Regions from separate parts of the Mus musculus genome. Here all the other regions are reported to be linked to region 1. The links are microRNA targets in miRTarBase. Many come from high-throughput screens and were not tested one by one. Region 1 holds a microRNA gene; each other region holds the end of a gene's coding sequence.
Evidence for each region. Region 1 holds the annotated microRNA mmu-miR-23b-3p (AUCACAUUGCCAGGGAUUACC, at 3,092-3,112, shown strand). A microRNA usually pairs through its seed, bases 2 to 8, with sites in the 3' UTR of a target mRNA and lowers its output. Matches are read on the target gene's strand: a 7mer-m8 pairs with bases 2 to 8, a 7mer-A1 pairs with bases 2 to 7 and ends in A, and an 8mer does both.

Region 1 (4,661 bases):
GTACGTACATGTATGTGTGTGTAACCTCATGTGCCACCTCTCTGGTTTGTGACACATTTTGGGGTCATCCTTCAGGGTACCTCCTCTGATGTTTTGTACCTCATGACATGTTTCCACATGACCTCCCCCATACTCTGTCCCACTCCCAACCCCAACTGGCGCCTCTGGCTAGCCTGTGTGCATACTGTGGGCTGATGGGCTAGAGCCACTTTGAATGGGATGGAAAGTGGGGGTGTGGTGGACAAAAGGACTTTTGACAGAGTCAAAGTGAGGGCTGGTTTTTCCCATAAAGCAAAGGATGTGACTTTTTTACAGCAGAAATGTCACATTTGCACAGTGGAGTAAGAATTGTTTGAGAAAGCAGACAGGAACAGAGCTAAGAGCAGCTCACTGGCATAGCCATGCTGTCTGCTGTACAGGGACCTCCACGCCTCAGCCCCTGCAGGAAAGCTCTTTGGAAGCCGACACTGAGTTTTTATCCTATGCTGCCTTTGAAACACTTGAATTTGAAGCAGAATGTAACCCTTGAGAAACTCCATAGAACAAGAAAGCGGGCAGAACTTGCAGAATGTAATTGGCTGCTTTTTTAATGTTGGCTCAGTGAGAATTCAAGCCTTTGTAGCATTGTTTTCAAAGCAGAAGAGCCAAGAGTCTGACATTTGGTGGCTGGGTTAGGCCAAAGTGACAGCATCTGCCCTGCCTGCACTGCTGGCCATGTGGTCTCTGTGGCCTGTTAGGTGATGGACTTTGTAAGCAAGCTCATGCCAGCTACCCTTTAGGATGCACTGGCCTGACAGACAAGGTTTTCCATGGTGACCATTTTGAGAGCTCTCTGCCTCTGCCCAGTGTATTCCTGACAATAGCCATCTTGGGATAGCTTGCTACTCGGGCACCGGAGTCGGTTGACAGAATCAATAGAATTCTGTATTTCTGTTGTTTTTTGAGACAAGGTGTCATTGTGTGACTCTGTGTGGCTTAGAACTTGCTATGTAGACCAGGCTGGCCTTGAATTCACAAAGATCGTCCTATTCTTCCTCCCAGTGCTGAGATTAAAGGCCTGTGCTACCATGTTCAGCTTCCATAGAGTGTTGATAAGGACAATGGAGACAGAGTAGAAGGTGCAAGCTTCAGTTGGTCACCTGCACGGCAGCAGGCTCTCTCTCTGTCCTTTGTGCTTTTAGACCAGCTTGTGTAAAGCAATACAAACAAGTCCCCATAAACATGTGCAGCCTCTTACCCCTTTCCCATTCTTCTCTGGCCTTCACGGTCTGCAGGCCATGGGCATATACCTGTATGGGGAGCTGATGGTGAGTGAGGACGCCAGGCTGCAGCAGCTAGCCCACAGGTGCTTTGAGCTGGTGAAGGAACACATGGACAGAGCATCGGCCCAGGTGGTGACTGAAATGCTGTTCTAAAGAGGTAATTCTCTTTTCTTTCTTCTAACCATCCATGTCAATTGGTAAGCCACATGATGAGCCACAGCACCAGAGGGCTGCCAAACGGTCTTGGGGAGGAAGCAGCAAGGTGGGTCCTCAGGAACAGGAAGAAGGCTCAGGATCTCTGGAGCACCTCACCTGCTGGAAGCATGGGTGTGAAGCAGGTACAGCTGAAGGAGCAACAGATCTGGCACTGCTTTAGCCACCCTGGATTTTGCACAGGTCCACAGGCTCCAGGGTCAAGGTCAACACAGCGGTCCATGGCCTCATTGCTCCAGGCTTCAGCATGCAGGCATCTCTCCTAGAGGCTGTGTAAACCTGAGACTCCTTGGCCTCTGGTTCTCTGACCTGTAGAGTAGGCAGCAGGTCTTCTCTGCCCCTCCATCCAAGTGACACTTGCGTCCTAAAGGCAAGTCTGTTTCCATCTCGTGCTGGAACAGGATTTACGCTGGCTCCCAGAGTCCTTGGCTGTGGTGTAACTTGCCTCCTCTGTAGCCAGCTTGTGGACCAGTAATGCAGTTCAGCCACAGGGCGTGGAGTTCTGAGACAGGTGTGGGCTAGTGCGTCTCTTTCATAGTCGCCAGTCATCATCTCTACATCATCCCAGGACATTATCGCTTGCCATGGTGGTACATATGATGTTTACTTTTGTATATGTTTGAAATTTTACATCAATCACTGTGTTACTCTGTTGTTCTCTATGATTACCAATTAATGAATATTTAGAATTGTGTTGCTAATCTTAACCCATTGTCAGACATTAAATTTACATTTTCACATTTCACTTTTATAAAACCCACTTCTGTGTAATGTTTATTTTTCTGAAGAACTACACTGATGAAGGGAAAACATGTTACTATGTATGACCATGTTGTTGCAGAAGAGCTGGGGACCGCCACAGTCAAGCAGGGGAGATAGTGGGCTGGAGTAAGCAGGTACAGCCTGCTAAGCCTGCACACTACAAGCTAGGACGGTGGCCTGTGTGGATAGACAGAGTCGGTCGGGGCGCCTCTTCACTGCCTCCTGCAGACATTTCTCTAGAAACTTGTAAGCTGAGGGATTGTTGGTATGTGGTGTGTGAAGGTCACACAGTAAAGCCACTGTTCCCTTTTTAGGTCCCTAGGCCTTCACTTAGGAAAGCCATAGTCACATAGTGGTCCTAGTGACTCTTCTAAGAGTATTTTTGCCCCCTGAGTGAGCAAATCCTCAACTTGCTAGGTCCCCTATGAGCTCTGTGCTATGCCTCAGCTTATCCAACCAAATGCTTGGTCACAGGCAAGCCAGAGAGATGCTCCCTCCCTACACACCACACCTGCTGTCTGAGGGGCCCAGAGACATCCCAACCCATTCAGTCTGCAATTGGAGAACAGGGTGTGTCCCAGGGTTAAAGGCCACATACTCAGAGCAAGGATGGTCCCTAAGGTATTGGTCTCATAGCTGATAAGTGTGTCCTTTGTCTCCCAGTCCCCTATGCTCCTCTATACAGTGCAGCCAGCGCGCTGAAGGACAGCAGGCTGCACTGCTAGCGTGGTGGGCTCAGAGGCGGTTTGGAGGACACTCAGCACATGTGGATGGGAGTGGTTGGGCATGGTGCTGCCCTCACCTGCTCTGGCTGCTTGGGTTCCTGGCATGCTGATTTGTGACTTGAGATTAAAATCACATTGCCAGGGATTACCACGCAACCATGACCTTGGCTGCTCCTGCAGAACCGTGGCTACTTTCTCTCTGCAGTTTGGAGAACAGAGGCGCCTTGTGGCTCTTTGGAAACAAAAGAAGCCAACAGCCTTCGAAGATGCTCACCAGCCCTTTAATTATGGCCGGCGATGACCTCTCTAACAAGGTGCAGAGCTTAGCTGATTGGTGAACAGTGATTGGTTTCCGCTTTGTTCACAGTGGCTAAGTTCTGCACCTGAAGAGAAGGTGAGATGGGGACAGTTAACTTGCAGCTGCCAGGCAGAGGCCACTGCCTGGTGGTCACTCCAGAGGAGGAGAGACCAGCCTGCCTCAAGGCTGTGTTGTCAAGAGTGCAAACAGCGTGCTGACCACCCTTAAGTGTGTCTACAGAAAATACAGTTCTACTGCTAATTAGTTCACTGTAATGTCAAGTGTATTGGGAGTCACAGAAAACTAAACCCAGGTGCATCAAGGAAACTGAGCCAACCTTGTCTCAGCTGATGCCACACGTGATGGGTGGGGGTGTGGTTCTTTGTCCCTGCTGGGCGTGGTGAACTCTTTCTTGTATTTGCAGTCCAGGTCTCCATGTCTCCACAGTCGCTGGCAAGATGATGCCCAGGGCACGCCAGGAGGCACTGCCCAGCTGTGATTGGACCCGCCCTCCGGTGCCTACTGAGCTGATATCAGTTCTCATTTCACACACTGGCTCAGTTCAGCAGGAACAGGAGTCGAGCCCTTGAGCAAAAAGCCTACCCATCTGTAAGTGCCTGAGGCAGGCCTCCCACGGAGAAGAAGATGAAGGGCCTGAGTGTCTGGTACCAGACCCAACAGCAGTGGTATCCCTCTGTATGTGCTCCCGAGGTGGGGATTTGTAGAGTGCAGAGCTAACCTTGGAAAGTTTGCATTCCCTAGAAGCAGGTAGGGCAGGCGCTGAGCATTTGCCACGTGTTGGGGCAGAGCACACCATGTCACCGCTGCCTTGAGCAGTGAGAATGCCTGTCTGAAGGGCCTTGTCTGTAGAGCCTTTCTGAACCTCTCTGGGCTTCACAGCCCTGCATGGCCTGTGCCGTGACTGTGCACCCCAGACCCAGGATTGTGAGGTGTGGCTTCAGTGTTGCCCCTGTCCTCCCATGAAAAGTTCCCTCTCAAGTGGAGGTCAGAGGCTGGGAGGACTCCTGTTGGAATGGCTGTGGTGACTGGGTAATAAATTTTATTGCTGTTTCCTCCACAGGACAGATCACAGTGAGATTCTCATATACCTTCTCCTAGCCCTGGTGGGGCCAGGACTGCACTGACCCTGGACATCAAAGGGAGGATTATGTGGCTGCTAAGGCCATCAGCCCACAGCAGTGGTTGGTCCATCTTGGGCTTCCAGAGACTGGGCTCCCGTGGCATATATAAAAGGCGGAGCCTCATAAACTGTTGCACCTGGCAGCTGCCTTTGTTCCCAGTCCTAGAGAGACTGAGTCTACACACTGGAATTGAGCTGTGACTTTAAGGCAGTCATTCAATGAAGGACACCCTCCCCTAGGCAGATGGAGAGCCGGTTGC
Region 2 (3,000 bases), not on the chromosome of region 1:
TAGGTTTCTGCTTGAACACACAGGTTTTGTAAGTTATGACAATCCTGTCTCAGCTCAAGCTGCCATCCAGTCCATGAACGGCTTTCAAATTGGAATGAAGAGGCTTAAAGTGCAGCTCAAACGTTCGAAGAATGATAGTAAGCCCTACTGAGTGCTCCCCTCTGAGACTGGAGTGAGAAGATCTTCTGGTAAGTGGGGGAGGAGCACCCTTAATCATTCGAAGCCCTAAGGCTGTGTGTTAACAGCCCTGGACCCTGATCCCTGCCACTCTCGCAGGCACAGCTTGCCCTGAAGACTCAGCTACTGCCTTCTGTGGGAGTGTCGCTTCGTACAGAGGACAAGTTTGTGCTTTGGTTTCCAGTGTTTTACTTTGGAGTTTAGGTGCCATATCCTGAGGGGTTTTGTTTTGTTTTGTTTTGTTTTGTTTCTTTTTCCCTTTATTTAAAGTTTGCTGTGTTTGTAACCAGTTTGTTGAGAAGGACCAACACCAGTCCACCTTGAGGAAGAGGGAAATGGGTTTAAAAGATAATTAGAACATGCCCCAAACCATGGAAAGAGAGGGCTGAGCAGAACAGAAAGTTGATCCCCGAAGTCTCTCTCCCTGTGTGGAAAGAGTGAGAACTAAGTCTAATGAGGTACGGGGTGGGTGAGTGGGTGAGGTGTCTTAGCTTCTAGACCCCTTAGAACTGGCTGCTTTCTGTGGAAATGCTGAATTTATGCCACCTATTTTTCTAATTTTTGTCCTGGATTTCTGCCCTTCTTTCCTAAAAGGGGGTAAGCAAGTCTCATGAAATAATGCACTTTTCAGTTAGCCTGAAATATGCAAATAGGAGGGAGATACCCATGACTAGGCAGCCCAGCCCGACATTCGTGTTATATTGATTGCCCTGCCTGGTTGGTGGCTGTTTAGGGGAAGCAGCCAGAGAGGTCATTTTCATTAATTTTAACATGAAGTTAGAATGTACCCATTTCCAGTAGTCTCTTTTGTAGAAAGTATATGGAAGTTCATAACACCAAGGAATGTTGCCTCCTTCTCTGGCCACAGTTTTCTCATGAGGGGACATAAGACACTCTTAACAGCATCTCTAGCCAACAAGGGTGCAGTTCATGGGCAGAGCAGTCAAGAAGCCATCTGATTAAGGGAAGAGAGACCTGCTTCTTGGTGTGCCTGAATCAAGGTCACTTCAAGCCACTTTGCTATATTTGAGCAGAGCCTAGTATTCAAGAAGGTTCAGAAGTGCATTTCTGATTCCTTAATGAAGGTACTCCAAAAGCTGTGTTCCCATAAGGTCTGGCAGGCCTCTCCTCTAGCCCCATTTTCTGTCCTTGAAGACAGAAGAAAGTATAGGACGTTTACAGGCTCCATATGGATTTAGTGTTCATTTACCTCAGTATTAACCCATGTTCATTTTGTCATCATGCTTACAGTAAGCTCCCTGCTGCCTTTCATGGGTCTTAACTCCAGCCTTTGCCAGTGTCCCACATAGCCTCTGGGCTCTCCTGCTCTAAGAGAAGCTGTGGGAATGTGCATCTGAGCAGAGGTAGCCCTATAAATATATGATTAGTAGTCACAGCCAGGGCCTGGGTTCCTGGGTCATTGGAAGCTTAAACCTCATAAGTTACAAGTCTTGACTCCTAGCAGCAGAGATTAGAAGGGGCTAACCTGCTTTAAGTCAGATAGGGACTCTCCTTGTCATGCTGTCCCTGTGGATAACAAACAGGGATTGACCATCTTGCTGTTGTACAGGAAGTTGTTAGTGGTGTGTTATCCCATTGATGCTGGGACAGCTGTTCTCTTATAGTGATAAGTTGAGTCTGTTGTCCTCTTAAACATGAAACATACACTTCTTAAGCTGAACCACGTAAACTTGAATTCTGTGCACTGGGAGAAAAGTGTCCTGTGTTTCAAGATAAAACTGTTCTAAAGGCTTCCAGGGTATTGATGGAATTTTTTAAAATAATGCAAAAAAAATAAAAAATAAAAAACTTTAAAAGGAAAAAAAAGAAAAAAATGCTAGGTTGGGCAGGCACTGCTCAGAATCCCAACCGGCCGGAACCAAGAATGTTGTTTCTATTTTTATAGAAGTTTTATACAGCTCCGGGGTGGAGAATATTTATTACCTAAATTATATCTCTGGAAAAGGCCAGGATTTTGTAGAATCCAGAATGTGATTGTTGTACACACAGGGTGCTGTGTATGATTGAAACTACTGACTTTCTGTGACCGTTTGCAGCCCAGGTAACCTGTCCAAGGGGAAGGCTAACATTAATGCTGTGAATTGGCAGAGGCGAGAGCTGTGCTCCACAGGGAGCTGCCAGTGCTGTGCTCCCTAACCTTCTGTTCTGCCTTCCTCCTCGGCCAGAACATCACGTTCTCCCTGCTCCTCTGGTTCCCTCTAGCTCTCCCATTTCATTGTCCACAGATTTGTCCTGTGCTCCAGGACCAAATGAAACTTTCCTAATGATATTAGAAGCAAAGGAGTGACCCCACCTTTGGAACAGACCCCAAACTTCATACCTACTTGTGATTTCTAAAAGGAGCACTTGCCCCAGCAGAGCCATGGTCAGCCATGGCTGGCTCAGTTAGCCAGCTAGCCAGCTGGGGAGACCATGTACTTCCATTATCCCGTTTGCCCAGTGCATTAGCACAGCACTAGCACTGTCCTCGAGCACAGTTCCCTCCCCAGGCCAAAGATGGTTTTGTTGAAGAAGCTGCTCCCCTATAAGTCTTGATGTGAAAGGGCTCAGCTTAGAGTGGAGACTGAAGTGACGTCTTAAGCAGTCCATTTCTGTTGTGTGGAGGTTTCACTTACAGTGTTTTCTGCTGTAGTTTTGTTTCGTGGATTATATCATGCCATTGATTTGCCTTCAGTGCAGCCCAACCACTATCTCCTGGGTTCCACAAGAGTGCCCAGGGCGTATGTGGAACCTTAGGGCTTGGATTTCTGGGAACAAGGGTGGGCCATCCTAGGATTGAGCAAGAAACTCTGGCCCTCTATC
Region 3 (3,000 bases), not on the chromosome of region 1:
CATATGATATATGTATATCACACACATATATACATATATATACATACACACACATATATATGTGCATATATATAGAGATATAGATATAGATATAGATTCTGAGTTTTTGGTCTTAGATATATGTAAAACCACAGTCTCTTCCCTTTACCTAAATGAGAAGCAACTTAAAAACTTGTTTAAAGTTTTACTGAATTCTTTGCTTAGAGGCATATAAATTAGATTTTATCTACAAAATGAATTTTATAGTATCATCCTAAAAACTAATAATTTCTTAAAGAAAAAGGAATATACATGGAGAGAAACCTATAGTAGAAATTATGACCTCTATAGTCCCTTAAATATATGATCTTGCTATTTGAGAATTCTTGTGTCCCAAAATTACATCCAGTATGCTATATGTCATACAATTCCATTATTTTCTCAAAAAGATATATTACATAAGATAATTAATATTTGGGTATGTGTGTATTTATAATTCTAAAACTTGGGAAACAAGAGACAGAAGGAAACAAAGTGCAAGGCTATCTTTGGCTACATAGCAAATTTGAGAATGACTCATTCAATATGAGGCTTTGTTTCAAAACAATTGAGAAAGTAAGTACTATTTTATATTCCTCACCAGGCTCAAAGGCAAAATCTAATGGCCAGTGTGAGAAGTAATTTGCCGCATTCACATGACTGGACTATGACATTAACAGCTGTAGAATGCACATTCTCAAGATTATTATGCCAGTGTGTAGTTAGGCAGTACTCCTTCAATTATTTTTCTTTTTTCACAAACCAACAACCACCTCTCCTTGGAATTACTAATTTATCTGTAAACTTATAGAAATTCCACAGACACCATTTTAATTTTAATATTTATTACCATCAAAATTCGTGATTTAAGATTTATACAACAGTAACCACCACCATAGAATCTAAAAAGAAATGAAGCTGTCTTCTATATGTGTGATAAAGCTTTAATTTATTCCTGTTCAAAAATATACCATGTTTAACATATAGATCCTTGAACATGCACTGGAGTTTAGATTAGGCAAGGAAGTTCACTCAACATAGCACACAAGTCTGAAATATCATCTTGTTTTGTAAGTTTGACCTGAATTTTTGAAATGTGATGAATTCACATAGGCATAAAAATAAGTTATGATTGGTAAGGAATCAGTATTGCACATCAAGCCTGGACAAGCCCAAGTTTTTTTTTATGAGGTTTATTTTTATTTTTATTTTTGTAGTATGTGTTTTGTGAAAACTCTTTGTAATCTAGACAGCATTGCTATGATGTCATAGTTTATGTCTCCACAGTTCAGTCTACATGAGCATTGCACATTGCCCATAGGAGGGATAGGAAAGTGTTCCAAGGATAAAAAAAATATATGTGTAACTAAATATACAGGTGGTTATTTGATGCTAAATGTTTTAGTATGCTTGTCTGTTAGTACTGAATCACATGAAATCCAAATAATAACAGGATTTATTGTAATCATGTGATATACAAAAGATTACCAAGCATAAGTTAAGGTACTAATTTCAGCAATGTGTCCTATTTGATAGCATTAATAATTATATACCAAATTAAGTTGATAAACTGTATGAATATCTTCTTTCTTAAGGTAGTAAATTTTCCTTCTGATTCCTGAATATTAAAAAATAGGTGATAAACTGATTGGATCACATGAACAGGGGACTTAAATCTAGTAACTCACCGTGATATCAAACAGTGCAAAAATAATATTAGTGATTCTAAACTGAAATTTGAATAAATACTGAAGAAGTTCTACTTTTGTAGAAAGCAAAGCAGGGTATCACTCCATGAATTCAGCATCTCTTATCTGAAATCAAAGTGAGTCAAAGGAGAGAGGTCTTGTGCTTCTGTGTTTGGTGCAAGATACAAAGCTCTTTGGTTTTTAAGGATAAGCTTAAAGCACATTTTCATTACTAAGCCATGGGACTAAATTGAACAAATCGGTGATCAAACAGTTCTATTAAATAATTGTGTCCAAGATTGGCTAAGGGGGAGCAGATTTTCCTAGACGGAGGATAAGATGCAAACATAAGTAGATACTACATCCACATGGGTATAAGCTTTGTGAGCATATAGATTAGGAACACTGCAGCGAGGCAGGAGAGTCAGTAGTGAAGCAGCAGATATGAAGTACCCGTATCGATACAAAGTTTTGTGCTACAGTTTCAACCTCCCAGTGTTTGCCTGGAGCCTATCCAAATGAAAGCTACTCCACTTATGCACAACCTAGAAAATGGAGTCTGAGTTTCAATGAATTTTTAATTTTGTTCAATCTTGAATGTGTTCAACCGAAAACAATTTAAAGAGGGCTGCAGCTATCAGCTTCAGTGTAAGTGAGTTCAGCTCCTTGTAAGAGACTTCTTGAATTTCCCATAAAAATCAACAGCGTGCGTCTAACGGCATTCTTTTAATTTGCTCATCAAAATGTGAATCACCACATCAGATATTCTTCAGGGCCCCTTTGGCTCGCAGATTAACCATGCCATTTTGCCACATTTTCTGAATTCTCATTTTAAATAATCATAAATAGCAAACCCTTGGTATTCTTTGGCATAGCACAGCTGTTTGATTCAGCTGAGTTTCTAAGTCTTAGAAATTGCACTTGTTCCTCTTTAAAGTCCCCAGTAGTCTCCTAAGGTTTCAGCTGAAGGATTCTTTATTGTATTCAAATTTTGTCCCATATGAGTTGTTCCGGTTACTCAAACTATGAAGAGTCTTGGAAATAGAACTGGGTCCACAGCAGAAAACTCCAACTGTTTTCCTGGAAAGAGAAGAGAAGTAGGAAATCAGGTACAAAATTTGGCAGAACAGGACAAGAAGCCTACTGTATGAGCACGGGTTTAAAGTATTTGCAAAGTTAATTTCTTGTTCCTTTTCATCTTAAAACCATTTTCCAATTATGATATTCATAGTTGGATTCAGGAAAAAATGTAACTATGGGCATAAATTGGCTGCTAGAAATTATGCAGTGTGTT

Region 2: the mRNA of Celf1 is a reported target of mmu-miR-23b-3p. The part of its 3' UTR that is shown has no 7-base or 8-base seed match.
Region 3: miRTarBase lists Nox4 as a target of mmu-miR-23b-3p. Seed matches in the 3' UTR shown: 7mer-A1 at 1,123-1,129.

What each region holds. Positions count from the first base shown.
Region 1 is chr13:63,297,438-63,302,098 of GRCm38, forward strand. It overlaps Mir23b (microRNA 23b), which reads left to right and starts at 3,047; the gene lies at 3,047-3,120. Aopep (aminopeptidase O) reads left to right here. Exons shown (of 16, transcript NM_001289926.1): 16 at 1,275-4,661. The coding sequence ends at 1,415. It overlaps Mir27b (microRNA 27b), which reads left to right and starts at 3,275; the gene lies at 3,275-3,347. It overlaps Mir3074-1 (microRNA 3074-1), which reads right to left and starts at 3,846; the gene lies at 3,762-3,846. It also overlaps Mir24-1 and a transcript of Fancc not described here.
Region 2 is chr2:91,013,215-91,016,214 of GRCm38, forward strand. Celf1 (CUGBP, Elav-like family member 1) reads left to right here. Exons shown (of 14, transcript NM_198683.2): 13 at 24-188. The coding sequence ends at 151. Among named protein-coding and RNA genes, the nearest start is that of Gm13777, 17 kb to the right of the region's middle.
Region 3 is chr7:87,396,557-87,399,556 of GRCm38, reverse strand. It overlaps Nox4 (NADPH oxidase 4), which reads right to left. Exons shown (of 18, transcript NM_015760.5): 18 at 847-2,786. The coding sequence ends at 2,666. Among named protein-coding and RNA genes, the nearest start is that of Tyr, 95 kb to the left of the region's middle.